7 linked regions of the Oryctolagus cuniculus genome follow. The protein of the gene in region 4 interacts with the protein of the main gene of each other region in a pairwise test. Links are inferred from orthologs where the notes say so. Each region holds a gene or a part of one and is shown on either strand. Other genes may lie near its edges.

What was found.
Region 1: the proteins of RASSF1 (region 4) and AKT1 interact in a protein complementation assay, tested with the Homo sapiens proteins (2 studies listed by BioGRID and IntAct, with this or other methods). The link is inferred for Oryctolagus cuniculus from reciprocal best matches to the Homo sapiens genes RASSF1 and AKT1.
Region 2: the proteins of RASSF1 (region 4) and MAP2K3 come close enough for resonance energy transfer, tested with the Homo sapiens proteins (2 studies listed by BioGRID). The link is inferred for Oryctolagus cuniculus from reciprocal best matches to the Homo sapiens genes RASSF1 and MAP2K3.
Region 3: the proteins of RASSF1 (region 4) and SUV39H2 interact in a two-hybrid assay, tested with the Homo sapiens proteins (2 studies listed by BioGRID and IntAct). The link is inferred for Oryctolagus cuniculus from reciprocal best matches to the Homo sapiens genes RASSF1 and SUV39H2.
Region 5: the proteins of RASSF1 (region 4) and STK3 interact in binary tests that used the Homo sapiens proteins (3 or more experiments, as listed by UniProt). The link is inferred for Oryctolagus cuniculus from reciprocal best matches to the Homo sapiens genes RASSF1 and STK3.
Region 6: the proteins of RASSF1 (region 4) and STK4 interact in binary tests that used the Homo sapiens proteins (3 or more experiments, as listed by UniProt). The link is inferred for Oryctolagus cuniculus from reciprocal best matches to the Homo sapiens genes RASSF1 and STK4.
Region 7: the proteins of RASSF1 (region 4) and LATS2 come close enough for resonance energy transfer, tested with the Homo sapiens proteins (2 studies listed by BioGRID). The link is inferred for Oryctolagus cuniculus from reciprocal best matches to the Homo sapiens genes RASSF1 and LATS2.

The regions. Positions count from the first base shown.
Region 1 is NC_091451.1:46,976,398-46,979,897, forward strand, and holds part of AKT1 (RAC-alpha serine/threonine-protein kinase), read right to left. Parts: intron 1,367-3,500; coding exon 1,238-1,366; intron 1-1,237. UniProt on the Homo sapiens protein: AKT1 is one of 3 closely related serine/threonine-protein kinases (AKT1, AKT2 and AKT3) called the AKT kinase, and which regulate many processes including metabolism, proliferation, cell survival, growth and angiogenesis.
Region 2 is NC_091448.1:65,853,500-65,856,999, reverse strand, and holds part of MAP2K3 (dual specificity mitogen-activated protein kinase kinase 3), read left to right. Parts: intron 1-279; coding exon 280-407; intron 408-705; coding exon 706-783; intron 784-2,581; coding exon 2,582-2,721; intron 2,722-2,840; coding exon 2,841-2,886; intron 2,887-3,305; coding exon 3,306-3,389; 3' UTR 3,390-3,500. UniProt on the Homo sapiens protein: Dual specificity kinase. Is activated by cytokines and environmental stress in vivo. Catalyzes the concomitant phosphorylation of a threonine and a tyrosine residue in the MAP kinase p38.
Region 3 is NC_091444.1:41,036,862-41,040,982, forward strand, and holds the start of SUV39H2 (histone-lysine N-methyltransferase SUV39H2), read right to left. Parts: upstream 2,801-4,121; 5' UTR 2,678-2,800; coding exon 2,647-2,677; intron 2,561-2,646; exon of another isoform or gene 2,016-2,560; intron 1,942-2,015; exon of another isoform or gene 1,360-1,941; intron 947-1,359; exon of another isoform or gene 875-946; intron 103-874; coding exon 1-102. UniProt on the Homo sapiens protein: Histone methyltransferase that specifically trimethylates 'Lys-9' of histone H3 using monomethylated H3 'Lys-9' as substrate.
Region 4 is NC_091441.1:98,984,783-98,988,282, reverse strand, and holds part of RASSF1 (ras association domain-containing protein 1), read right to left. Parts: intron 3,312-3,500; exon of another isoform or gene 3,294-3,311; coding exon of another isoform or gene 3,108-3,293; intron 2,227-3,107; coding exon 2,122-2,226; intron 1,981-2,121; coding exon 1,683-1,980; intron 243-1,682; coding exon 127-242; intron 1-126. UniProt on the Homo sapiens protein: Potential tumor suppressor. Required for death receptor-dependent apoptosis. Mediates activation of STK3/MST2 and STK4/MST1 during Fas-induced apoptosis by preventing their dephosphorylation.
Region 5 is NC_091437.1:124,350,155-124,354,421, forward strand, and holds the start of STK3 (serine/threonine-protein kinase 3), read right to left. Parts: upstream 2,801-4,267; 5' UTR 2,541-2,800; coding exon 2,515-2,540; intron 1-2,514. UniProt on the Homo sapiens protein: Stress-activated, pro-apoptotic kinase which, following caspase-cleavage, enters the nucleus and induces chromatin condensation followed by internucleosomal DNA fragmentation.
Region 6 is NC_091442.1:14,101,282-14,104,781, forward strand, and holds part of STK4 (serine/threonine-protein kinase 4), read right to left. Parts: intron 2,132-3,500; coding exon 1,973-2,131; 3' UTR 1-1,972. UniProt on the Homo sapiens protein: Stress-activated, pro-apoptotic kinase which, following caspase-cleavage, enters the nucleus and induces chromatin condensation followed by internucleosomal DNA fragmentation.
Region 7 is NC_091440.1:91,902,692-91,906,191, forward strand, and holds part of LATS2 (serine/threonine-protein kinase LATS2), read right to left. Parts: intron 948-3,500; coding exon 453-947; 3' UTR 1-452. UniProt on the Homo sapiens protein: Negative regulator of YAP1 in the Hippo signaling pathway that plays a pivotal role in organ size control and tumor suppression by restricting proliferation and promoting apoptosis.

The sequences.
Region 1 (3,500 bases), on a different chromosome or scaffold from region 4:
CGCCTGGAACACGCACACCTACAGTACACGCCCCTGGAACACGCACACCTACAGTACACACGCCTAGAACATGCACATCTACAGTACACGCGCCTGGAACACGCACACCTACAGTACACGCCCCTGGAACACGCACGCCTGCCACACGTGTGCCTGTAGCACGCACGCCCACAGCCGGGGAGCGTGTGCATTCCAGCACCAGCACCCTGGCAACCACGAGGGCCAGGTCTGCCGGGCGAGGGGCTGCGTGGGGGCCCGGGGCCCAGCCTGGTGGGAGGCGGCCTGTGTCTGTGCGGGCAGGAAGCTCACTCGGTCCTCCCACAAGGCAGAGCCCCTGGACACAGGCCCTCCGCACACACACGCTGGCTCTCGCCCTGGCCAGGCAGCGCCCCCTGCCCCCGGCTGGCGCTGCCCCCATGGGCTCCTCTGCAGAGGCCCCTCCTGCCTCACCCCCACAGCGGGCATAGCAAGGCTTCCAGGGAACTGGCCTGCGCCTCCTTGGTGGCCTCCGGCCCAGGAAGCTGGGCCTGAGGCCGGGGAGGGTGGCATTTGGGGCTCACGGGAATCCCCACGGCCAGGCCCCTCCTCTAGCACAGAGTGGGCCCCGGGAGGGATGACCCAGCAGCCAGTGCCGCAGCCCATCCCCACGCAGATGCCCACAGGCAGGGCGACGCCCAGGTCGAGCCACCTGTGCCAGACCTCCCTGCAGCCCCCAAACCAGAACCTGGGTGGCCCTTGAAGGCCAGGGGCCAGAGGACCCCAGGGTGCTGGCCAAGGAGAGGGAGGGGCAGAACCCAGAGGCCCACGGCTGGCAGGCCCATCGCCCCCAGCTGCCCCAGGCCAGCCCCAGGGCAGAGCTGGGCTGCCAGGTGGTAGAAAGTGGCAGTGGACCTGCCCGGCCCCAGCCAGCATCGTGGGAGGGACAACTGGGGAGCCAGGCAGGGGAAAAAGTGGCACTGGCCAGCTTTGAGGGTGCCCCCCACAGCTGGGAGGGGTTGTATGCAGGGTCCTAGGGCCAGCAGCCCTCCCCACCCAGGACCCCCCTGGGAGAGCCTGGAGGCTCCCTATAGCCCGAGCTGTCCCCTCTGGGCAGGAGGCTCAGGGAACAGCTCCACAGGACAGCCATGCAGCTTGGCCCAGGCCCCCGCCAGCCAGGGCTGGCCCCCAGTCCCACAGGGCACGGACCACTCCAGGCACCGCCCCACGTCCAACCCGGAGTGGCCGAGGGGACACTTACGTGCCACAGAGAAGTTGTTGAGTGGGGACTCGCGCTGCTCCACGTCCTGTGGCCGCTCCTTGTAGCCGATGAAGGTGCCATCAGTCTTGAGGAGGAAGTAGCGTGGCCGCCAGGTCTTGATGTACTCCCCTGTGAGGACACAGGCGGTGAGGGCCCCTGTCCAGGTCGCTGGCCAGCTACGCCAGGCAGAGGGTGGGGGACGGGAAGGCAGGCTCGCTGCGCCGGAAAGGGGCCAGGCCCACCTGCACACCTGGGACACGGGGAGGAGGCCTGGGCCCACCTACCTGGCCTTCCTGGAGGGGGAGGCAGTAGGTCAGCTGGTGCCCAGCTCAGGCACTGGCCGGGCACCCAGGCTCCAGGGTGTGGCTGCTGGCCTGAGCCGGCCTCCAGCCAAGAGGACAGAGCCTGGCACTGGCAAGGAAGGGCCAGCAGCACAGTCCTGGGGCCGAGGGCAGAGCTGCCGCCCACCCTGGGACAGCCCCTGGTCCAGGCGCGGGGGCCGACTCCCCCAGTACCGCGGCGCTCGGGGACACGGCAGATGCTCCGTGGAGCCGCGCTGCGCCATTTTTCACACTGACACCCGAGAAAACGCCTCATTTACATTTTGCCGAGCACAGAGTCTGAACGACAGGGAAGTTGCTAATTAGGCAGCTGCTTCACTGTGGGCTGAGAGCTGGGGACGACACAGGGACAGGCCACCCCCAGAGGAGCTCAGAGGACACGGGTCGGCAGGCGTCCCCTGGGCAAGGCACTCAGGGCAGTGGCCCTCCCTCCCCAGGTGCCCGGCAGCTGCCACTCTGCACCCTGGTCCTGGACACACTTGCAGATGGGACCCGGAAGCCCCGGGCTGGGCTGGGACCTGCACCCCAGCCACCCCCCTCACAGCCCAGGGCTCTAAGAGGCCCCCCCAAGCACCCCTGGGTGCTTACTGTGCCTGGACTGGGGTGGGCCTGATTCCAGCCAGCCCACCAGCAGGACCAGAGCAGTGGAGTAAGGCCACACCCCGATGCCCAGGGGGGCAGGCCAGCTAACAGGCCCCACCCCACAATGCAGGGGGCGGTCGCTCAGGTGCGGCGGGGGCTGCTTTGGGGGAAGGACAAGGTTCTGCCCCCTCATGAGGGTGCCCCCCACAGCTGGGAGGGGTTGTATGCAGGGTCCTGGGGCCAGCCGCCCTCCCCACCCAGGACCCCCCTGGGAGAGCCTGGAGGCAGCCCCCACCCCGCCCCGCCAGGCTGGGGCCACCGGGGCCTCTGGCAGGAGCAAAGGGCGACCCTCAGGGAAGAGGCTCCAGCCCACCACAGGCACCCCCTCTGGGCAGGTGGGGGCAGGCAGGGGCTCCAGGGGGCGAGCGGAGCGGGCTCTGGGGGCTGCACAGCCCCCCCGTCCCGGGCCGCCCGGCGCCGTGCCCACCCGCCTGCACGCCAGTCTGGAGCTGTCGGCCCCTGATGGAGTGCCTGCCATCCCACCAGCTGCCGCTCCCCAGGACGCTGAGCGAGCGGGGAGACTGATGAGCACCCGCGCGCGCCCCAGAAATCCATCTCGGTCCTGCGCCACACGGCACACACAGGGCCCCCACCCCCAGTGTCGGTGAGGGGGCTGCCCTCAGCACACAGACCCCTCCACGGGGGCCAGGAGCAGGCCGAGGGACACCTCTGCCTCTGCGTCCGGCCAGGCAGGCCCATGGGGACCCACAGTGCTCGCCGTGCCTGGGCTACAGCCCTCGTCTTAAGTTCAGCCAAAGCAACGTGGGACCTGAGACCCCCGGCCCCGCCAGGGTGGGGGCAGAGGCCACTGCACACCTGCAGACTGGCACCTGCCCACCCCGAGGTCCAGAGGGGCCTGGGCCTCTGGCAGGGAGCGACTGGCGCCCAGCGCAGGGTCTCCTCAGCGCCCCCCCCCCCCTTCAGACCTGTGGCGGTGCCAGGCTCCACCCAGGGCCTCTCCAGCAGGCTCAGCTGCCCTCTAGGCAGGTCCAGCCAGGCGCTGCCATCAGGAGGTGCAGATGCCCGGGTGGGACCCGCTCCCGCCCCACTGCTGGCCGGCCCACCTGCAGGACAGCCTGGAACCCAGCCCTGGGCTGGGAGCACAGTGGTGGCCCCTGAGGTGCTGCACGGAGCCCCAGGTCCTGTCCAGGCTCCAGGCCACCATGCCCGGGACAGGGAGAAGGGGATGGCTGCCCTTAGCAGGGTGACAGGGTTAGCTAGCTTCCTGCGACCCGGCCTGGGTCAGCTCTGGCCTCGGGGACACCACACAATGCTTGGGG
Region 2 (3,500 bases), on a different chromosome or scaffold from region 4:
GGGGATCAGTGTCGCATTCATTGGCCCGCCTCATGGCCTCATCAGCAGGCCATGACTCAGGGAGGAGAGCCCCTGGGACCGCCCAGTGCCCACCCCGTCCCCGCCCCTGCCCCAGAGAGACTTGGCTCCCGCTAACCCTGGCTGTGTGACCGTGGGCTGACAGCACCTGCCTCAGCCTCATCCAGTCCTCGGGGGAAGGGGGGACGGGGGGAGGCGGGGCAGGGGGTGGGCACAGCGTCTCCCTTGGTCAGGGCTGAGTATGGCGCGCCCACCCCGCAGACGTGAAGCCGTCCAACGTCCTCATCAACAAAGAGGGCCACGTAAAGATGTGTGACTTCGGCATCAGCGGCTACCTGGTGGACTCCGTGGCCAAGACCATGGATGCCGGTTGCAAACCCTACATGGCTGTGAGTGCCCTCAGGGAGCCAGGGGCCTGGGGGCGGGGCCTTCCATGGATGTGTATCTCCGCACCCGGAATGGTCCCTGGGCATCAGCGGGGTGGGGGTGGGGGTCTCCCCTGGGCAGATGCGTGCGGTTTCTGCGGGGCCCAGCTCCGTAACCCCCATGTCAGGAAGGTGAGGGGCCGTGAGGTCAGGACTGGGCCTGGCCGTTGTGGGCCTGTTTCCCCCTTTTTGTGGGTGTCGGGTGGTGAGGCAGGGCACAGCCTGGAGGGGGCGCTTACACCTTGCCCTGTCCCCCCTGCAGCCTGAGAGGATCAACCCGGAGCTGAACCAGAAGGGCTACAACGTCAAGTCCGACGTCTGGAGTCTCGGCATCACCATGGTAACGCGTGTGTGTGCGTGGGGGGCGGGGCTGGCTGGGGTGGGGGTGGAGCTTCAGACCTGGGGCGGAGACGCACCTTGCGGAGTTCCCACCTGTTAGGGGCCACCACATGCCACCGCATCCCTTCCTGTAGTGGGTGTTCTCTCTGCTCATGAGGAAGCCCAGCCAGCGTCAAATCCAGCGAGCCCCAGGCAGGCCAGTCATCCGCACGCAAAATCAGTCCTGGCCGGTGGGCTGGAGACACCCCCGGCTTGAACGACAGGGAGGCTGGGCTGGGGTGGACGCACCCGCGGCCCTGGTGCAGGGATGGGCCCTCGCCCCATACCTGTCAGAGCTCAGGGAGGGGTGGGGTCAGGTGTGTTTAATTGTGTCTGGCTCCTATTCCGGCCTCTGTTATAGAAAGCCCAGTGGGGGTGGGAGGGAGGGGATGATGGGCTGGGCACGTGAGGGGTCTAGGAGCCGGCCCCACCCCTCCACGAAGCCCAGCGGGAGGTGTCCTGGAATCCAAGGCTTCCCTGTTCACCCTGGGCCAGGGAAATCCTTGCCTGCCTGCCCTGGGCCCTGTGGCAGTGGGTGAGGGGCACGTGTGTGTGTGTGTGTGTGTGTGTGTCTGTCTGTCCTGGGCGATCCCCTGGGACTGACATCAACGACCTGGAGTTGGTGCAGACTCCACGGAGCTAACGGCTCAGTCCCACGAGACTGACTCCAGCCGCTTCTTCCTCCGGGGCTGCCAACGGAGCAGCTAGGACTCGGGGGCTCCCAGGCCCGCCCCTGGCTTGAGAACCTGCCACCAGCTGGGGTGACGGCTGGCCTGGGCTGGGCTCTCTGGTGTAGTTTAGTTCTTTGCCTCATGGGTTACGAAAGTAATAGAACCTGATTTAAATACAGAGAATAGTAGGTGCCCCCCTACTTTTTGAGCTCTTTAGAAGGAATTCCCAGAAAAGCATTTCTGCCTTTCTAAGTATCACCCCCCACCCCTACTGGGCCCTTGGTACAGATTGGAATCAGGGAAAAGAGGATACTGTGTGGCCACGCCCCTACCCACCACAGTGCAACTCCGCCCCTCCGTGGGCGTGGCCACGTCTGGGCTGCTCCGTGCTGGCCAACAGCGGGCCGGCCTTTCGTGTTAGCCTGGATCGTCTCCGCTCCTCAACATGGCCTGCTGGCCGGGCCATGCATTGGACCCACGGATTCTGCGCTGTTGCAGGCAGGGGGCCTGGGCTGGCTCTAACAGCCAAAACCCGAACCCAGGGTTCCCTGTAAGCCAGCCTGGCCCTTCCACAAAAGTCCTGCCGCCAACAGGGGTTGGGGGCCCAGCAGGTGGAAGGAACGGTCAACCCAGCGTCGCTCAAGAGGAGGCAGACTCTGGGGGAGGCTGGGCCAGCCCCAGGAGGTTGGAGTGACCACCAAGAGGGATGGGCTCCCTGGAGGCGGTGCCTGGCAAAGCGCCCCTATCGGGTCAGGTTCCCCCTGCAGCCAGAGGCCCGGTGTGAGAGCCACCTGTGACCTGCTGCCTTCCAGGGGCAGGGCCCAAGGCTGCCAGCTCCTCCCACAGTTCCAGCGCGGCTGGGCCCCGGATTAGGTACAGTCTTTCTGAACGCAGGCCGTTAGCAAAGCTGGTGCCTGCCACACCAGTCCCCAGGCTGCCGCGTTGCACTGGGACAGGCAGCGTTGCAGCCCCTCGGCCTGCCCTGGCTCCCGGCACCGGGCCGGGCCGGGCTGGACAGATCCTGCCGACCCCTTGGCTTCTGGCGCAGGGTGCGGGTGCGTCCTGCTGACTCCCGCGTCCCCACTGCAGATCGAGATGGCCATCCTGCGATTCCCTTACGAGTCCTGGGGCACCCCATTCCAGCAGCTGAAGCAGGTGGTGGAGGAGCCGTCCCCCCAGCTCCCGGCCGACCGCTTCTCCCCCGAGTTTGTGGACTTCACCGCGCAGTGGTGAGTCTGGCCCTGCTGAACCCCTGAGCGCCCCTCAGTAGACAAACCCCAGATCTCCCCCCTGGCCCTCAAAACACGCACAGCCTCAGCCTGGCCTCAGCCTCTTTCTTCTCCCACAGCCTGAGAAAGAACCCCGCCGAACGCATGAGCTACCTGGAGTTGATGGTAAGTGCAGGCAGGTGGGCTGGGGGGGCAGTGTCCTGGGGAGGCCGCACCCCTCCACGTGCAGACAGGCAGCTCCCGTGTTTACTCATTTTGGAGTACTCGGTCATCCCTGGCTCCCTCCACCACACCAGGCCCTGTGGGACAGGGGGATAAGCAGTGGCATCAGGGAAGGCTGCATGGAGGAGGTGGCCTTTGAGACTGGGAGGAGGGGGCGTTCCAAGCAGAGGGTGCAGCGTGTCAGGGGGAAGAAGGCGTTTGGTTCTTGTGGCCAGACGGCTGTGGAGGAGCCATGAAACCTATCTCTGGCAGTCATGGAGGGCTTCCCTGGGCAGGGGTGGCGGTGGTCCCAGCAGGGAAGTTAGGAGTTTGTCTGCAGGAAGAACCCACGTGGTGACATTGCCTCCTGCTGTCACTTGCAGGAGCACCCTTTCTTCACCTTGCACAAAACCAAGAAGCCAGACATCGCTGCCTTCGTGCAGGAGATCCTGGGAGAGGACTCATAGGGGCCAAGCTGGGGCCCCGCCCACAGCCATAAGCTACTGCCCTCCTGGCCCTGGGCATCCAGGACGAAGCCAGGGGCTGCTCCTGCCTGGCTGTGTGAGGAACTGTCGGTC
Region 3 (4,121 bases), on a different chromosome or scaffold from region 4:
TTAGATTCCTTTTGGTGATTCCAATCGATTTACATGTGAGTTTTTCTTTTCTACATAATTCCTGAAGAGTATCAAGTGAAACTAGGCAAGGCACACACCAAGCTACAATAAGAAAATAGAATTCTTTACTAATGAAACAGCTATTCAATTAGAACAAAAAAAAAAAAGATAATCTTAAAACTTCTATATCCCCACCCTTCAACTGGAAATTTTACACAACTAAAAATTCATATGACAAGAAAACAATGATGTGTCTTCAAGATGAAGTATTAAAGAACTATTTTTGATAATTGGTCTTGGACTTTTCTCATGAATTTTTATCCTGCTATGTTCAATTGACATTAATTTCTACTAAGTCACTTGAACAAAACATCCCATGCCTATAACTTTTTCTTAAGATAACATACAGATGCCAAGGTCAACAGAGGTGATGTTTTTTACTTTTCCATTTTATTCTACATAGAATACAATTATTGTCATACAATGTAGATCTCCAGGGCATTCTTATTGTTTAGAAGTACATCTATAATATATTTTAAAACACAATCTTTAATTTCTTAAAAAGTAACTTTTTTCATTTCTTTTAACTGGATAATTAGAACAGAGACCTAGTTAAAACATAGTTCTAAATTACAAAGGCATTATTTGCCCTAATTTTTCCACTTTGAAATCCTGCATGAAATTTAACTCCACTTAATATTTTGCCCACGCTGTAATGTATTATCAACCCAAGTGCTATAATTCTAAAAATTCAGTGTATATTGACTTTTTTGGTAATACTAATTTCCTGTATTGTTTTTAAAGCCAGGAGTTATACAGTGTTCAATTTACAGAATCCACATACCCAATTTGAAGAAAATTGGATTTAATCTACCTTAGAGAAGCCAGGAAACTATTTATGTTGCATAAGATTTTACTTCCAAATTCCTGTAGTCAGGCTGTCGTGCTGAATTTACAATACAAATCAACACAAAGTGATGTTTAGAAAAATGTAATAAACTTGCTTTTATGGCTAGTGTCATTGTAAGCACTAGATGGATCAAGAATCGTCTGCTCTAGCTTACATGGTTTGCAATCTTTCTGGGATCAGATTCACTGAAAAAAACTGGGTTGCCAAATAGAATCAGTAAACTCAAGCCATATGTGGTAGCTCTCCAAGGTAGTGGCCATAACCTTTTGTGTTTTGAGGAAATTTGCAGGAAGTGAGAGTACAGCTGCTTTAACTTTACTACATTCTTTCCTCATCCCCTCACCCCCAACTCACACAGGGTCTTCAATGTCAGAAACCCTTAAGCACAATTTCCACCACTGCCCCCCTGCCAAGGACTCCTAGTTCTAAATCAAGGAAGGAAAACGTACTTCTCCCAGAAAACTGAGGCTGGGGAAAAAGTTGACCGGGAGTGGTGGTAGAGGGTAGAAAAATACTAATTCCTTTAAGTTCCTTCCATCCAAAAACCTTGAGGTTGTTCTGTGCAAAGTGAACCTCATTAGCTGATCCGGTGCCAAGGAGGTGCCTCCTGGATATCTATCTACCTAAGGTATGTGTGGTGGGCTGTTCCGAACCATTCTTATCTAGTTGAGGATCTAAAACACCACCACCGATGGAGAAGAAACAAACTAGAATATAAAAAAGCTAAAAACACTTGGTTAAAAAAAAAATCCGACAGCCTATAGTAACAGAGAAAAAGTACATCGACAATATTAACTATTTCAACACCACTATCAAAACCTTCCAGTAGCTCACGCTATCCATCGCCATTCTTAAAGGAAGAAAAGTTCTGGGATAGTGAGGAGATAATCTATGTGGAGCAGAGCAGAGCAGGAAAGAACCTATAAATTCCAGAATGCATTTGAAAATTCCAGGCTTTCAAAGCGCGCGCACACAAACGAACACGCGCACAAACGCGCGCGCGCGTGCTCAGTGTGAGTCTTCGAGGTCCATATAAATAACGCCAAGTTCCCGGGGGGAGGGGGAAGAAAAGTTAGCGCCAGCCAGAGGCTGCATCTTCACACACCTAGTCTCTGCGAGATCTCACTGAGGAGCAATTAGACCTTCTTACGTGTCCGCTCTCGGCTGCGCCTCACTCGCTCCCTTTCTGACCCCACTTCAACCCCAATTCCTCTCCCTCGCTGTTGTGATACCAGGGTCTCGTTTACACCTGCGGGTTCTCTCTCTCCCGCTTCCCAAACGCCCAAGCGAACACCACAAGGCCGGCTCACAAGACCACAAAGGAGTCATCGCAGCCGTGCCCACGAACCCTCGAGCCGGGAGCCCACAGCGAAGTTACCGCGACGCCCGATGCAGCCGCGGGCAGCCCAGAGGGGCCGGGCCGGGCCGAGCGCGCGGCGGGAAGCGACGCTCCACACAGCCCGGCGCGGCCGCGGTTCGCGCGGGCGCCCACCTCCAGCGCACAGCGAGGGCAGGGAGAACGCGAGAGGAGCGGGCCAGGCCCTCAGGAGGGTCAGCGGCCAGGAGGAGGGGGCAGGCGCCCGCAGAGCGCATCCTGGGGTCGGCGTGTCAGCGAGGCGGCAGGCGGAGTCCCGCCACGTCGCCGCCTGGCTGGGCCGCGGGACGGCCCCGCTTCCCAGGCCTCAGAAGCGTGCCTGGGAACGGAGAGGGAAGAGGGGGCAACGCTCCAGCCTCACCTCCTTGCGCCTCAGCCCCGGCCGCCGCCATCTTGTGGAGCTTTCATTCAAACTGGCGCGGTCTGACGGGATAGCTCAGCTGGCCCTACGCCCCGCCCCTGTCCGGCCCGCGCGGCAATCGGGGGCAGGCGGGGGGGGGGGCGGCGCTGGAACCCGTGAGGCGTCCTGACGTCACCGGAGGCTGACCCCGAGCGTGGCGGCAGTGCGCCTGCGCCCACGGCCCACACCGGCCGCCGCGCGGGAGGGGAGAGGCGGAGAAGGGGGAGAGGGGCGGGGCGGGAGGGGCGGGGACCGCGGCCCTAAGCTAGGTAAGCCGCAGTCTTCCCTCTGCTGGAGCGCGTGCGCCGGCGCTCAGGAGAAAGCCCTCCAGGCGTTCCCACGCCTTTCTTTGAAATCGTGTTACCTAGGAGCTAGGTACACTATCCGAAAGGGCCGCGTGGGTTTCTGTTTGGGACGCTTCCTCCAATTCCCGTTCCTCATTACCTGAGCCCAACGAACCAACTTTGCCCTCCTCGTAGTTCGTTTCCTATCCGCGCCCCCGCGCTCTGGCTCTCAAAATCGGCCCCACGTAGGATCTCTTGGAGAGGAATTGTTTGCTCCTCGGGCAGAGGTTCCGACCCGGGCAGTGGGCATCTGAGGGCTCCCCAGGTGATTCCAACGTGCGGCCATCAGTGCTGCCGGCGCTTTAGGGACGCTTGTTAAAGTGCAGATTCGAATTTGGTGGGTCTGCGTTGAGTCCCGGGCGTCTGCATTTCACAGGCTTCCAGGCTCTTGCTCTGCCAGCAGCTGCTGCTCCAGGGGCCTCCACACGTCTCTATCCCTCACCTGCCCCCAGCATTCTTCGCAGCCTGTCCGTGGTGATGGCTTGAACAATCTAAAGCAGAAGCCTTAGAAGTGCAAATGGCAAAAACTTCGGTGGGTAGCTATTTGACGTCTACCGAGGATTTTTACAAAGATTTATGCTCTAAAAATGACAAATGTTTAAACCATCTTGTATAAATTTGAAATACTGGAAATAAACGCGGACCATTAAAGCTATGGCTAATTATTTGATTCCATTATGAAACACCGTGTAGCCATCCAAAAATGTTTTTGAAGCTTTTATTATCATAGGAAAGTGTTTAGTGTGGTTTTTTTTAATCCTCCTAAAATAGTTTAAATTAGCTAAGAAAAATTATATAGGAAGACAACAAAATGTAAAATCTTTGCATGGAGAGACCGGGGTTGCAGAGCCGCAGGTTTAGCCTCTTTATCTGCATCCCCGGATCCCATATGGGCTCTGGTTTGAGTCCTGGCTGCTCCACTTCTGATATAGCTCCCTGCTAATCATCTGGGGAAAGCAGCAGATGGCCCAAGTACTTGGACCCTGCACCCTCAAGGGAGACCCAGATAAACTCCAGAATCCTGGCCAGAGCCAGGACCCGTTGTTGATATTTGGGGAATGCACAATCTGATGTAATTCCCTCTAACTCTGC
Region 4 (3,500 bases):
CTTGGGCTTGCCCTAGACCTTGGCCTGACAGGCCTGGAAGCCCTTCCTTTCGTTGCCCTGGGGAGGCTGTACAGGGCTTGTCTCTGTTCATTAAAAGCAGGAAACTGAGCAGGACTGGGTACTCACGTTCACCTCCCCGGAGTCATTTTCCTTCAGGATGAAGCTCAAGTCCTTCTCATTCGGTCCTGCCAGGAGCCGAAGCTGCAGGGGCTGTTCGTCATCCGCCAGCTTCCGGAAGTAGACTGCAGCCCAGGCCGGGGGAAAGAGGTGTGAGATCAGAGGTCCTGCTGCCTCCACTCCCGCAGGCACAGGGGCAGGCACAGGGGCAGGCACAGCCTAGAGGTCTTTAAAAAGCTCATGAAAAGACTGCTTCATTGGGACTGGTGCTGGGGCATCCCACATGGGTGCCGGTTCAAGTCCAGCTGCTCCACTTCCAATCCAGCTCTCTGCTGTGGCCTGGGAAAGCAGAAGAGAAACTCCCGGCTTCGGTTCGGCACAGATCTGGCCAACTGGGGAGTGAACCAGTGGATGAAGACTCTCTCTGCCTCTCCTCCTCTTTGTGTAACTTTCCAATAAATCTTTAAATCAAATCAAATAAAAAAAGTGGTTTTTGTTTGTTTGTTTGTTTTTTGTTTTTTTACAACAAAGTCTTCCAGCCGCTGGCTTACTCCCCAGATGGCCGCAACAGCCGGAGCTATGCCAAACCGAAGCCATGAGCTGCTTCCAGGTCTCCCACACGGATGCAGGGGCCTGAGGACTTGGGCCACCTTCTGCTGCTTTCCCAGGCCATAGCAGAGAGCTGGATCAGAAGCGGAGCAGGCCAGGGCGTTAACCCACTGCGCCAGCCCTGAGTTACCTTTTGAAAATACACAATGTGGGGGCCGGTGCTGTGGCGTAGCAGGTAAAGCTGCTGCCTGCAGTGCTGGCATCCCATATGGGCACCAGTTCAAGTCCCAGCTGCTCCCTTCCACTCCAGCTCTCTGCTGTGGCCTGGGAAAGCAGTGGAAGATGGCCCAAGTCCTTGGGCCCCGGCACCCATGTGGGAGACCTGGAAGAAGTTCCTGGCTTCAGATTGGCCACAACAGCTGGCCAACTGGGGTGTGAACTCTTCACTCTGCCTCTCAAATAATCAATTTTAAAAAAAAAATACATAGAGTGGTGCCTCAAGAAGCCCTCTTTTAGGGCCGGCGCCACAGCTCACTAGGCTAATCCTCCGCCTGCGGCGCCGGCACACCGGGTTCTAGTCCCGGTCAGGGTGCCGGATTCTGTCCCAGTTGCCCCTCTTCCAGGCCTGCTCTCTGCTCTGGCCAGGGAGTGCAATGGAGGATGACCCAAGTGCTTGGGCCCTGCACCCGCATGGGAGACCAGGAGAAGCACCTGGCTCCTGTCATCGGATCAGTGTGGTGCGCCAGCCGCAGCGGCCATTGGAGGGTGAACCAACAGCAAAGGAAGACCTTTCTATCATCCACTCTGTAAAAAAAAAAAAAAAAAAGCCCTCTTTTAAGCCTAGAGGGATTCGTTTTCCACTGTTTCTAATCACTAATGCCTCGATAAATTCGCTTTTTCTAAACTATACCTGGACTTCAAATCTCTTGTGTACCAACATAAGCCAAGCTTCTAATTCCCTTTTCCACAGACCTCCTGAAGCATCCTCACGGGGTGTGTGTCGGGGGGAAACACACCTTGGCCATGACGCTCGGCTCGCTCAAAGAGGGCGAACTTGCGGGGGTCGTCCACCACCAGGAACTTGCGGAGCAGGGCCTCGATGACCTCCCGGGCCCGGGTGTGAGACAGCACGTGTAGGTGCTTGACGGCGTCCTTGGGCAGGTAGAAGGAGGTGTGGCGCTTCACGGCTGTGCCCCGTGCTGGGCCCCGGCGAGCATCCTGCAAGGACGGGGGCTTCTTGCTGGAGGGCACGGACACGGGCCGGGCCAGTTTCAGCTGGACCTTGATGAAGCCGGTGTAGGAGCCATCCTTGTTCTAGAGAGAAACAAACTCAACCATGACCTAGCTGCCGGGAGACACGGAACACCCTAGGGCTAGGCTGGGTGTTGCCAAAGTGGCTGTCTGAGCCTACCACGGCTGCCCCTCCGCAGACCCCCGCCAGAGCACTGCACTCACCAGGCTCATGAAGAGGTTGCTGTTGATCTGGCCGTTGTACTCCTTGATCTTCTGCTCAACCTCAGCCTGAGAAAGATCAGGCTTCTCCCACTCCACGTGCTCGTCCTAAACAAACAGGCCAGGGGCAGGTGTTTGGTCTAGGGGCTAACATGCCAACTGCCCCCACCCGAGTGCCTGGATGCAAATCCAGGCTCTGTTCCCGATTTCAGATTCTTGCTAATGCAGACTCTGGGAGGCCGCAAGTGATGGCTCAAATACTTGGCTCCCTGACACCCATGTGGGAGACCTGCTTTGAGTTCTTGTCTCCTGACTTCAGCCTGGTCCATAGAGTGGGGAGTGAAATCAACAGATGAGGGATCTCTGTTTCTTAAATAAAAGTCAAACGGGCTGGTGCTGCGGCGTAGTGGGTAAAGCTGCCACCTGCAGTGCCGGCATCCCATATGGGTGCCAGTTCGAGTCTCGGCTGCCCCACTTCCAATCCAGCTCTCTGCTATGGCCTGGGAAGGCGGTGAAGATGGCCCAGGTCCTTGGGCCCCTGTACCCATGTGGGGAGACCCATAAGAGGCTCCCGGCTCCGGACTGGCGCGGCTCCAGCTACTGTGGCCAGCTGGGGAATGAACCAGCGGACGGAAGAGCTCGCTCTCTGTGCCTCTCCTTCTCTGACTTTCAAATAAATCACTCCTACAAAAAAAAAAAAAAAAGTCAAAAAGATGAGCACCATGGACACAGGACCCTTGAATACATGGCTTCTCTGAAAAATGCTCTTGGAAATTGACTTCCTGATGTACACAGATGCCCAGAATCAGCCATCCTGGCTGGCGCAGTGGCAAAGTAGGTTAAGCCTCCACCTGCAGCACCAGCATCCATATGGGTGCAGGTTTGAGTCCTGGCTGCTCCACTTTAAATCCTGAACTTGTCACTGTTTTTTTTTGACAGGCAGAGTGGACAGTTGGTTCACCCTCCAGTGGCTGCCGCAGCCGGCTCACCACGCTGATCCGAAGGCAGGAGCCAGGTGCTTCTCCTGGTTTCCCATGGGGTGCAGGGCCCAAGCACTTGGGCCGTCCTCCACTGCACTCCCTGGCCACGGCAGAGAGCAGGCCTGGAAGAGGGGCAACCGGGACAGAATCCGGCACCCTGACCGGGACTAGAACCCGGTGTGCCGGCACTGCCATGGCGCCGGCCACTCGTCACTGTTAAAAAAAAAAAAACTTTTAAAGATTTTATTTCATAGGCAGAGTTAGAGAGGTAGAGACAGACAGAAAGGTCTTCCATCCAACCAGTTCACTCCCCAGATAGCCGAAATGGCCAGAGCTGTGCCGCTCCAAAGCCAGGAACCAGGAGCTTCTTGCAGGTCTGCCACACAGTGCAGGGGCCCAAGC
Region 5 (4,267 bases), on a different chromosome or scaffold from region 4:
GGAGACCCGGAAGAAGATCTTGCCTCCTGGTTTCTGCCTGGCTTAGTCCCAGCCATTGTGGCCATTTGGAGAGTGAACCAGCAGATGGAAGATCTCTCTGTATCTTCCTTTCTCTCTGTAACTTTGTCTTTCAAATAAATAAAAATAAATCTTTAAAAAATAAAAAAGAGGCCGGTGCCATGGCTCACTTGGCTAATCCTCCGCCTGTGGCACCGGCATCCCATATGAGCGCTGGGTTCTAGTCCCGGCTGTTCCTCTTCCAGGCCAGCTCTCTGCTGTGGCCAGGGAGGGCACTGGTGCCCGCACCCGCCTGGGAGACAAGGCGGAAGCACCTGGCTCCTGGCTTCGGATCAGCACAGCGTTGGCCGTAGCGGCCATTTAGAGAGTGAACCAACAGAAGGAAGACCTTTCTCTGTCTCTCTCTAACTCTGTCAAATAAAAAAAATTTTTCAAAAAATAAAAATAAAAAAGAACATACTAATATACTAAGAAATGGAGCCAGGATTACTATTTCTAACAATCACTAAATAAAAGAACGTATATATAGTCATGAACCTCATGTCTATGACAGATCACATATGAAGATGGTCCCAAAAGATGACATCACCTAGCCATATATCATCCATCACAGCTGTCTCAGTTTAATTAAGTATACTGTATGGTGTTCGCATGACTGTGTAATTGCCTGGTGACACATATCTCAGAACTATCCTTGTCATTAAGCAATGCTTGACTGTATAAATTTCCTAGTGAATATTATGATCTCAAAAATAGTAGCTATATTTTATTACTAGAAGGCAATGATCAAGGGAGTAACACAAATATACACTGTAATTCCTGCATAGCCTTCTTCCCCTGTGGAAACTCTCTCAATGTCCTCATCTATAAACCAGGATTAATGCCTCTAATCCAAATTCTCCACAGGGTTGGTGTGAGGATTAAATATTATGGATAGGAAAACGCCATGAAAAAATCTTGAGATATTTAAATATAAAGGATTCATTTCACGCATCTTTTGCTCTTCAGAAATGCCTTCCTGTATCAAAATAAGTCTCTCTGAAAAGAGCTAAAAATAAGTCTGCTAATGTGCAACCACCACTTTGAAAAGTATAAATCACCATGGCACCACCACCCACACCTCCCCCAGACTCTTCCAGATTGTCTAGTGTCTCTGCAAGGCCACAGATTCTCTTACACCTATAATGCAACCGGCAGAACTGACAGCAGAAATAATCAACAGACAGAGCCGATGCTTCCATTCAAACTCTTTCAAGTTGGCCTCTGGCATGATCTCAGAGGTGTCCCACTTACAGTCCTCCCAACACAGGAAAGAAAAAGGGCCCAATTCTCTCTGTAGTAGCAAAGGGAGTGCCCAGTGAGTACTAGAATACAGACACCCTAGAAAATTCTAGAAAATAATTTATCCGTTACCTTGGGCTCTCCTAGCTGATAGCCCTTTTGAAAAATCCCTCTAGGACACACCCATCCCCATCCCCACCCCCTGCACAGATGGTTTCCAGGCCACACAGGTCTCTAGTCTCACAACTCTCAACAGCTCCCAAAGCTCCCACCTTTTTAATTATTCCACCTTTCATCTAAAGATCTCTAGGCATCAAAGCACATGAACTCTTTAATCGACACAACAGCTCTCCCCAGGAGAGAGAGAAGTGCCCTTATTTTTTATAAATTAAAAAAAAAAAAAAAAAACAAGACTGAGGTTAAATGTGTTATCCAACGTCAATAAGCTGATTCGCTCTTAAGGTGAAAACGCACATTATGAACCTGCATCAATGAATAACCTTGATTTAGCTTCCTAAGATCACTGCAAATACTTAACACATCTACTCTGTACACATACATTGCTAATCTATCAAAGAGCAAATAACGATGAATACCATACCAAAGCATCACTATTTATACATGCAAAAGTCGATGGAGGAGGGTTCTAAGATTTCTACTGTCTTGCCTCCACAAATACTTCTGAACTTGAGGGGGAGGAGGAGGAACACCTGTCAGTGCGGCATACTCACAGTAAGTTTTACAAACTCTGTGGCTATTAATATTTAATTCCTTAACTGTAAATAAACAACCCGCCTTTTCCCAAAAAGGATGGGGGGGGGACAATATTATGAAAAATACTTTGACAAGAGAGCCTACGTGGTTGTAAATAATTGTACATAATTTCCTAGTTTTAGGGCTTCCAGGCTGCGTGAACTCGCCACGAGGGGAAAACCCTGCCCGGCCCCGGAGGTCAGGCCCGGGGGAGCCTGGCGCTGCCCACCCAACTCCCCACGCGCGCCAGGCCCTGCCGGCCCGGGGCGGGCTCCCACTCCCCTCAGGCCCAGTCGCCCCGCGGACAGATGGCGCCGGGCACTCGGACCTGCCTCCCGACCCTCGGCGCGCCAGGCTCGGGTCCCGGCAAGGCGGAGAGAGGGTCGCGGTAGAGCCCGGCCTAGCCGCCTCCGCCCTGCGGCCGCCGCTCCCCTCGGGCTGCCCGCTCCTAGTGCTCGTTACCTCTTGGGCGCCGGCGGCTGCTCCATGGCGGCCGGGGGCAGAAACAGGGACCCGATGGACCGCGAAGGCCAGAGGCAGGAATGGAGCCGGGGTGCCGGCAGACCGAGCCCCAGGGAACCACAGAGAAAAACTCCGGGAACTCGGACCAACTTTCCCGTAACTCCACGGCGGATCTCCCTCCCGCTCCGGAGCGCGGCTCCTCCCGGCCCGCCCCGCCCCTCGGCCGCCGGCAGCGGCCCTGAGACGGCGGGTAGAGCCCAGCGCCCTGGGTGGGCGGAGCCGGCCGCGGCCAGGCGGGGGTGGGCGGAGCCTGGCCCTGCGCTGGGTGGGCGTGGCCGGCCGCGGCTCAGCTCAGGGTGGGTGGGCGGAGCCAGGCGCCTTGGAGGTGGGGAGGAGGTGGAGACGAGGGCGGAGGAAGGGGCGGGCCGTTGCCTCGGAGAGGGAAAGACGGAGGTGGTAGTGGGCGAGCACCCGGATGAGGCCTTCGCGGGATCCCGGAGCCGGCCTAGGCAGGTGCGGGGCGCGTCCCTTTGAGCGGGGCCAGAGCTGCACCCCTCCTGCCTTTTCTGCACTTGCCCGCATCTGATTGGACTCATTTCTCTGGATTCCCAAGGGTGCATCCCAAAGGCCTTTGAAGTATTACTAACTGCCCACGCTTCCTTCTCTAGTTTTGTTTATAATTACTGGTTATGTTTTTTCCCAGCCATTTGACATTTGTAGCTTCAGTACTAAGGATACTTCTGGAAATTCTGGTTTGATTTTGACTGTGCGCCTCGCTACATTTCACAATAATTACGTCTAATTACAGAGAAAATAATTGCTGTAGTGAGAGCTCTCCCGGCACCAAGGTTCGGTGCACCGGGGTATTGCTCTCTGGCCGGATGGATAAGCTGGCAAGCTTATCACAACTTCTGGTGCCTAGAAAAGAAAGTGGCTTTCCTTCTTCTGGCCTTTCCCCCAAACCTGCTCCCAGCAGAGCTCACCCTATTGTAATTTGACGCCCTCATTCATCCATATTGTGTGTGTTGATTAAATTCGTGCATATGATTTTTCTAATGAGCACATACAGCCACGACATTACGAATTTGCTAGTTTTCGTTAGAAGTCGCCAAGATGTACAGTTGTACGGGGCTTTTTTGGTGGTTAGAACAATGAAAAAAGTGTTGAATAATATGAATATTAACCTAAATTGATCTTGTCTATTAGCAGTCTAGACAAGCTTAGTCTTCTTTTTGCATTATTTTAAGTTTCATTGTAATAAGCTTACTTTTTTTTTTTGTTTTTTTTTTTTTTGAGAGACAGAGATAGAAAGCGCCCGTCCCTGGTTCATTCCCCAAATGCCTACAACAGCTGGGGCTAGGCTGGTCGGATTTGTTTTTAAACCATTATATGCTCCCCTAATTTTGTTATTTTACATTCACAAAGATCTTGTATTATTGAAACAAAGTCAAATTCTGTGAAGAGAGATTAAACATTTTATGCATTTTTGCATTTATTAAAGATCCACAGTCTGCTCAGAAATAACAAGAAGAAGAACAACAATACACTAAATCACTAAGACGTTAAAACTGGAAAGAGCCTTTGAAATGAGCCCATTCTGGTGCTAGCGTTATGGCATAGCAGGTTAAGCCTCCCCTGGACATCAACATCAGCATCCCAAATGGGCGCCAGTTTGAGCCCAAGCTATTCCACTTCCAATCCTCCTCCCTGCTAACGCACCTGGGAAAGCAGCAGGAGATGACCCAAGTGCTTG
Region 6 (3,500 bases), on a different chromosome or scaffold from region 4:
ACGTCACATAAAGTTATGTAGTCACTTCATTTTAAACACACTTCTGATTTTCTTCTCCCTCATAAATAAGAGTATTAGACCTGGACAGTGAGTCTACCATCTCGTAGCTCTATTGCCGTGGGAAGACCCTTTCTCCCTAAGCCCATTCCTTCATCTATGAAACAGAGGTAAAACACTTAACTCAGGGGTGATTGTGAAGTTGAGAGCCTGCCCTGTCTGCCAAGAGCAGGTGGTCAGCAGATGCTGGCTGCCATTTATTATTCTAGCAACACAAACTGTCTTCTGTTTTGCATATCTGCCACACAGTTACTCCACTGACCAAGCCCTGAAGACCAACAACTGCTTCCTACATTTTTAAAAAGTTGCTTTAGTTGCCAAAAAAAACCCAAAAAACAAAACAAACAAACAAACAAAAAAACCAGAATCTGACCTACAGAAGAGGAACATTCTCTGGGTAGCAATCATGCAGTCAAATTAGTTTCCTCAGGTGTAACCCAGTCGTGGCTCCCCTAACTCAAGGGAGGAAGGAATATTAGAAGAAAATAAAAAGATACTTGTCTTTCCTAACTGTCTACTCTGCTGTGTGCCTCAACGTCATGGAGCCTTGAGCCAAAGCTGCAGGAGGCTGGCTCCATGCTCTCTTGCAAAGTCCTTGGTCTACCTCAGGCCTCAGTGTCCTCCACGAGTGCTTGGCCAGGCAAGATCAACTTTTTGTGAACGAGCTTCCTGGGATACCCTAACTTAGAACTGACACATGTCAAAGGGCTGCTTGGCTACGTGGCCCAGGAGGGGAGCTCCAAGTTCTAGTCTCATTCTTACTCTGGTTTGCCTCATGATTTTGACCATGTCACTTCCCTTCTCTAAGCCTCAGTTTTCTCATCTACACAACAAAGGACCAGACCACATGATCTCTATGGTCCCTCCCAGCTTAGGCCCTCTACATGTCTGTGTTGAGCTTCCTGGAAAAGAAATCTTAGTCTGGTATCCAAACACCTTAACGGTAAAAAAAAAAAAAAAAAAAGAGTCACATATGAATGTGAATCAGCAACAGCAATGCCCTCTACCCTGTCTACAAGCAATGCAGAGAAAAATGCCATGTGTGTGACTTTCACATGAACACACACGAAGAGCTTGGAAAACCTTTCCCTTTTGGAGGCTTAGCACAGCTGTAGGTTTGCTGTGAGTTCCTGGCAGGCCTGTCCCTCCGCTGGATCACGTCTCCTCGTAAGGCACTGGGAAGTATCTGTACTGTGACTCCAGGCAGTTTGGAGAGTGGAGATGGATGAGAGGTGTTGAAACAGGATGGGCAAAGAGGATGCCAGGCCGCTCCTGGGGTTCAAGAGCAAATACAAACTCTCAAAGCTTTCCCTGGGACATCACCAACAGCCCCAGAGGCCAGTGGCGACCATGCAAGCTGAAAACTACACAAAGCCTTATTTTTAAAAGTAGTCCTACAAAGGGTAAGGCTGGCTCCTGGGATTCAGTGACCGCTCTTGCAGCCCCCAGGGGTCCTCTGCCCCCTTGTTCCACAGTACCATAATCTTACAGAAAAGAGGCAACTGTTCAAAACTGTACCTGTACAGTGATGCCACCACACTGAGTGGGGAATCTATTTATAATTTATATATATATGTGCATATTTATATATCTTTCAAAAGTCTTCCAGAAAGAACAATCGAAAGCTATTGGGAGAAGAAAACAAAAAGATGATGTAAAACTTTCTCAGCTATCACTCCACTAGGAGTCTCTGTTCCTGGGATGTAAAACTCTGAGATAAAAGCGCCACCTTTTGAAATAACACAGCTGACCCACACAGATACACACAACAAGATGGCACGCTGACTGGCAAGGCAGCCCTTCCACTGGCGCACGTTCCTGAGTTCACAGAGGTGCTGTGGAAAAAAGAGAAGTGCTGGAGAACAAATGTGGAGGCGAGCGATCCGAGGGACCCACGGCCTGGTCCCAGCCTTGCTCAGAAGTTTTGCTGCCGCCTCTTCTTAGCCTCAATGGCATCCAGGATTGGCTGCCGCTTGGACTGGTACTTCTGTCGGATCTCTTCGATCTCCTGCTCCATCATGGGGTCCAGGGCCAAGAGCCTCTTCTGAAGGTCCTCCACTGTCCAACTCTTAAGCTACAAGAGAAGTGGAAAATCTGGTCACAACAAAGCCAGGCCAGCAGCAGGCTGGCAGAGAAGCCCCGCCTTCCCAGTGTCCAGAGTGAAAGGAGACAAGAGGGGGACACTGTGAGTGTGAGGTCATGGGGGTTGGACAGGGACAATTCAGCCCAATGAATGGCATATCATGAAGTTGTTCTGGGACAGTAGGTCCCTGTGAGAAAACTATGTACTGACCTCTGAATGTGCCCTGCCCATGAACCTAGTGAATAATACTTTCACTTCCTCTATCTTTTAAATAATACTTGTTAGGACATTAAAATAACAGTAACTTGCTGAATGCAACAGTGGTTGCCTCCTAATTCTTGTCCTTTCTATGAAGGACCTGTCTACACAGTGTCTGTCCCTCTTTCTGGTCCTCTGGGTGAGAGACACATCTAGACAGTGCCCTTTCCTGTTTCTGAACGCACAATGCTGAGCACTTCATGCTGACTGAGGATGGACACTCCCCACCCCTCAGTGTCTGGCACTGCTATCCTAGCATCGCTAACGCTGGGGGCTGCCCACAGTCCAAGCACCAGTCTAAGGACTTTACATGATCACTACATACGCCTCTTGGGAATATACACACAAACCTTGTTGTTGGGGTGTGGAAGAGAGGTGGCTGGAGAAGGCCTGAAGCTTCTTAGATTAAGTTGCTATCATTCACAAGAAAAAGGACTTGCTCTACAAATGAATAATAATAGCTAGCACTTACATAGTGTTTTCCATATGCCAGACACTAAGTGCCTTACATAAACTGATTCACATAACACTTGTAACGACTCTCCTATATGAGTACGTTATCATCTGTACACACGAGCCAAGGAGGAGGATGGCTCAGTAAGCTGCCAGTGTCTCCTACCTAGTAAGAGGCAGAGCCAAGATTCAAACCCAGGCAGTGTGGCTGCAGAGCCCACATTTTTAACCAGTCTTGTAGAGAACAGACCAGCAAAACACAGTCTTAGAACGGACTCACCCTATGATTAAAACATGGCTCTGCCCCCCTGAGGCTCTCCAGGCCCTCTGCATCTACAGAAATGAGACAGTGATGTCTGGTAAGAATTAAATGAGGGCTGATGCTGTGGTGCAGTGGGTTAAAGTCCCGGCCTGTAGTGCTGGCATCTCATGTGGGTGCCGGTCCACATCCTGGCTACTTCATTTCTGATCTAGCTCTCTACTATGGCCTGGGAAAGTAGCAGAGGATGGCCCAAGTCCTTGAGCCCCTGCACTCACATGGGAGACCTGGAGGAAGCTCCTGGCTCTTGGTTTTGTATCGGCTCAGCTCCAGCCATTCCGGCCATTTGGGGAGTGAACCAGAGGATGAAAGACCTCTCTCTCTGTCTTG
Region 7 (3,500 bases), on a different chromosome or scaffold from region 4:
CATCTGGGAAGAGTGTTGTCTTGTTAACTTTTTTACATTATTGCACAGACATTTCTTCTCACATGTTTTTCAGTTTTCATGTCTTTTCTTAAATGTGAATAAGTGCTACGGATAAAATACAAATGTAGAAAATAACAGCAGCATGATTTGTCAAAGTTAATCCCTATAATTTAGTAAGAAAAAATGGATATAAACAAAATAAGTGCTCTTTCTAAACTGTACTAAATGTTTAAAAATATTGTTTTGATGCAGTGTAGGTCCTCAAAAGCCAACTCAAAGTCACGTCGACCCACCCTGCCTGTCAAGCAGGACCGAGAGAGGCAGCTCGGCTGGACGTGGAGTCCCTTCAGCTTCCGCGTGGGGCGGTCACGGTGAAGAACAGTCTCGAGAGAAGTAGCCCACCTGGGCTGCTCCCCCCAGCGGCGGAGCGCCCTGAGGGCCCCGGTGCACGGCTACACATAGACCGGCTGGCAGCCCTCGGTCGGATCCACCAGATCGGAGTTTTCCAAATCTGAGTTCTCAGACTGCGAAGCTTCTGCTCCTGAGGGCTTGGGGCACCTAAAGGGGTAGCCATTGTCATCAAAGAACCTCCGGAAAGTGAACTCATAGAAGGCGTGCTCTGGGTGCTTGTTGCCGGGGGAGGCGAGCGTGTCCCAGGCCTTGGCACTCCCTTCGCTGGCCTCGTTCCACGGGCTTTCTTCATCTACGGGGTCAAAATTTGAGGTGTCCATGGGGTGGCTGATGGTGGGCACGTAGGGGGCCGGCTGCTTCCGGATGTCGCTGGAGAAGTCGATGGCGCTGAAGAAGGGGTGGGCCTTCAGGTCATCGGCCCCGTCCCTCCCCAGCCGGCAGTCTGCCGAGCAGCACAGCTTGGTGATGAGGTCCCTGGCCTCGGGGCTCAGCTTGACCTGGGCGGGAATGTGGAGCGTGTTCTCCCAGTTGATCACCTGGAGAGAGGGCAGAACACAAGTCAGCTTCCCGTCCCATGTCAGCGCCAGGCGGCCAGGGCTGCCACGCCACAGCCTGGGATGACCTGACGGCTTGCACCTCAGTGTACGAGGCAGTTCGAACAGACACAGAGGCAGCAGCTGACAACGGAGTGGACATCTTTTTAGAAGATTTTATTTATTTGAAAGGCAGAGTGACAGGGAGAGGAGAGAGATCATCTATCCTCTGGTTCACTCCCAAATGCCTGTGCCAGCTGAGGCTGGGCCAGGCAGAAGTCAGGAGAAGCAAGGAACTCCATCCAGGTCTCCCATCCAGGTGGCAGGGCCATCATCTGTTGCCTCTCAGGTGCATCAGCAGGAAGCTGGATCAGAAGCGGAGTAACTGTGATGCAAACCAGGCACTTTGATGTGGGATGTGGGCAGAAGCCCCTGGGCCACAATACCTGCCCCTGGTGGGGTTTTATTTAGTAGGTCCCTCCCAGTCAGCATCAAGGGACCACGCAACCAAACACACACTAAAGGATGCTCTACTGCTTAGCAACACAATTCTGTCTTCCAGAAAAATGAAGAGACTGATCCTCTGCGAGTCATTTCTTTAGCTATGGCAATGGGTTTCTGTTGAACCACTGTGACACACGTTCAATATTTATTATGGCCAAAAGATGGCCAACTGGGGTTTTGTTTTAAAAAAAGTAACCTAATAGAGGAAAGCTGACTGAGGGTCTGATGGTTATTGCCCTGGTTCATGTTCGTGATGCCCATCTGCATAAACCAGCCATCTGGCTGCTTGGTGAATTCATTCATCACAGATGTGTCCACTATGATGAAAAAAACAAGAGTCTTGATTGCCTATTCTTAGAATCAGGGTGAAACAAGGCCAGTGTAACTCAATTCTAGTTGGGGTGTCGGGACAGCAGGTAAGGCCTGGAAGTAGCTGGGTAGGTGGGTGGGAGGACTGGTTCGAACCTAGGTAGTTGTTTTAATAGAGCTAAAACTACAAGACTCAGAGGAAATCATAAAGGTAAATGCTGCCTGGTAACTGATCTGGGAATGACTTCTTAGATGACACCAAAAACAACAGACAATAAGAAAATATTCAAAGCTTTTGTTCATCAAAGAACATTATCAACCAGTGGAAAAGGTAACCAACCAATGAAACAAGAGCATATGTGTACAAAACATATATTAGAATCATTCAGAATATATAAAGAACACCTACAATTCCATAACAAAAAAATTCAACCTGATTAAAAAAGGGCAATGGACTTGAATAGCTATTCCTCCAAAGGAGATACACAAATGGCCAGTACATGAAAACACTCAATACTATTAATTGTTAGGTAAATATAAATGAAAATCACACTATGATACTACCTCACTCACTTAGGACGGCTAAAAAGAAAAAAAAAACCCAGGAAAATAATAAAAATTATCAAGGATAATAATAACTTTTGTTATCAAGGATACGGGTAAGGCGCAGCTCTGGCCGTTGCAGCCAATGGGGGAGTGAACCAGTGGATGGAAGACCTCTCTCTCTCTGCCTCTCCTCTTTCTGTGTAACTCTTTCAAATAAAAAATAAAATAAATCTTAAAAAAAAGGATATGGGTAAATTGGAACTCATGTGTACTGCAGGTGCACTATAAACTTGGTTTCTCAAAAAGCAAAATATAGAACAACCATATGCTTTAAGGTATATCTGGGGATATATCCAAAGGAAGTGAAAGCAAAGGAAGTGAAAACAGGAGCACAACAGCCACGAGGTGGAAACAACCTTGATGTCTAATGATGGATGAATGGATAAACAACCACGTTCTAAACACACAGTGGACCAAAATTCAGCCTTGAAAAGCAAGTTCTGATACATGCCACACAACACAGATGAGACTTGAAGTGAAACGAGCCGTCACAAAAGGACAAATACTGTATGACTCCACTTAAAGGAGGTACCTAAAATTGTCAAATGCATAGACAGAAAGTAGAATGGAGGTTCCATGAGGCTGGGGGAGGGAGAAGAAGTAACTAAATGGGTATAGAGTCTCTGGGATGATGACAACACTTAGAAAATAGTGGTGATCGCAGCACTACATGTGAATGTTCAAAAATGGCTAAAATGGTAATTTTATGATAGATATGTGTATTTTACCACAATAAAAAAATCTGGGTTATTATCATGCAGGCAAATTAGTGAGTGGTTCAGAAATTCAATTAGGATGTTGATAATATCTATTTCCAATTTTATTGCTTCTAGATGAAACAGCCTTAATTGAGGATTTTTCTAATTAAAAGGTTATTAATTTTAGGTTCTACTATGGACTTCAGGGATATGAAAACTTCCTAGAATTGTGTGTCCATGGGTAAATCCACTGCAGGCTGCAGACTCTCAAATAATTGCTCATTATAGACAGGAATGGCTCTAATTGTAAAACTAGTCAGTAACGCTGCCTCACACGACTATGCGGAACACACACATCCACTCTGCCTCCACAGCTGAAAATCCACCAACAGCGATGCTGATTCCAGACAAGGTGAGTTCTGCTTGCTCTTTGCCGGGC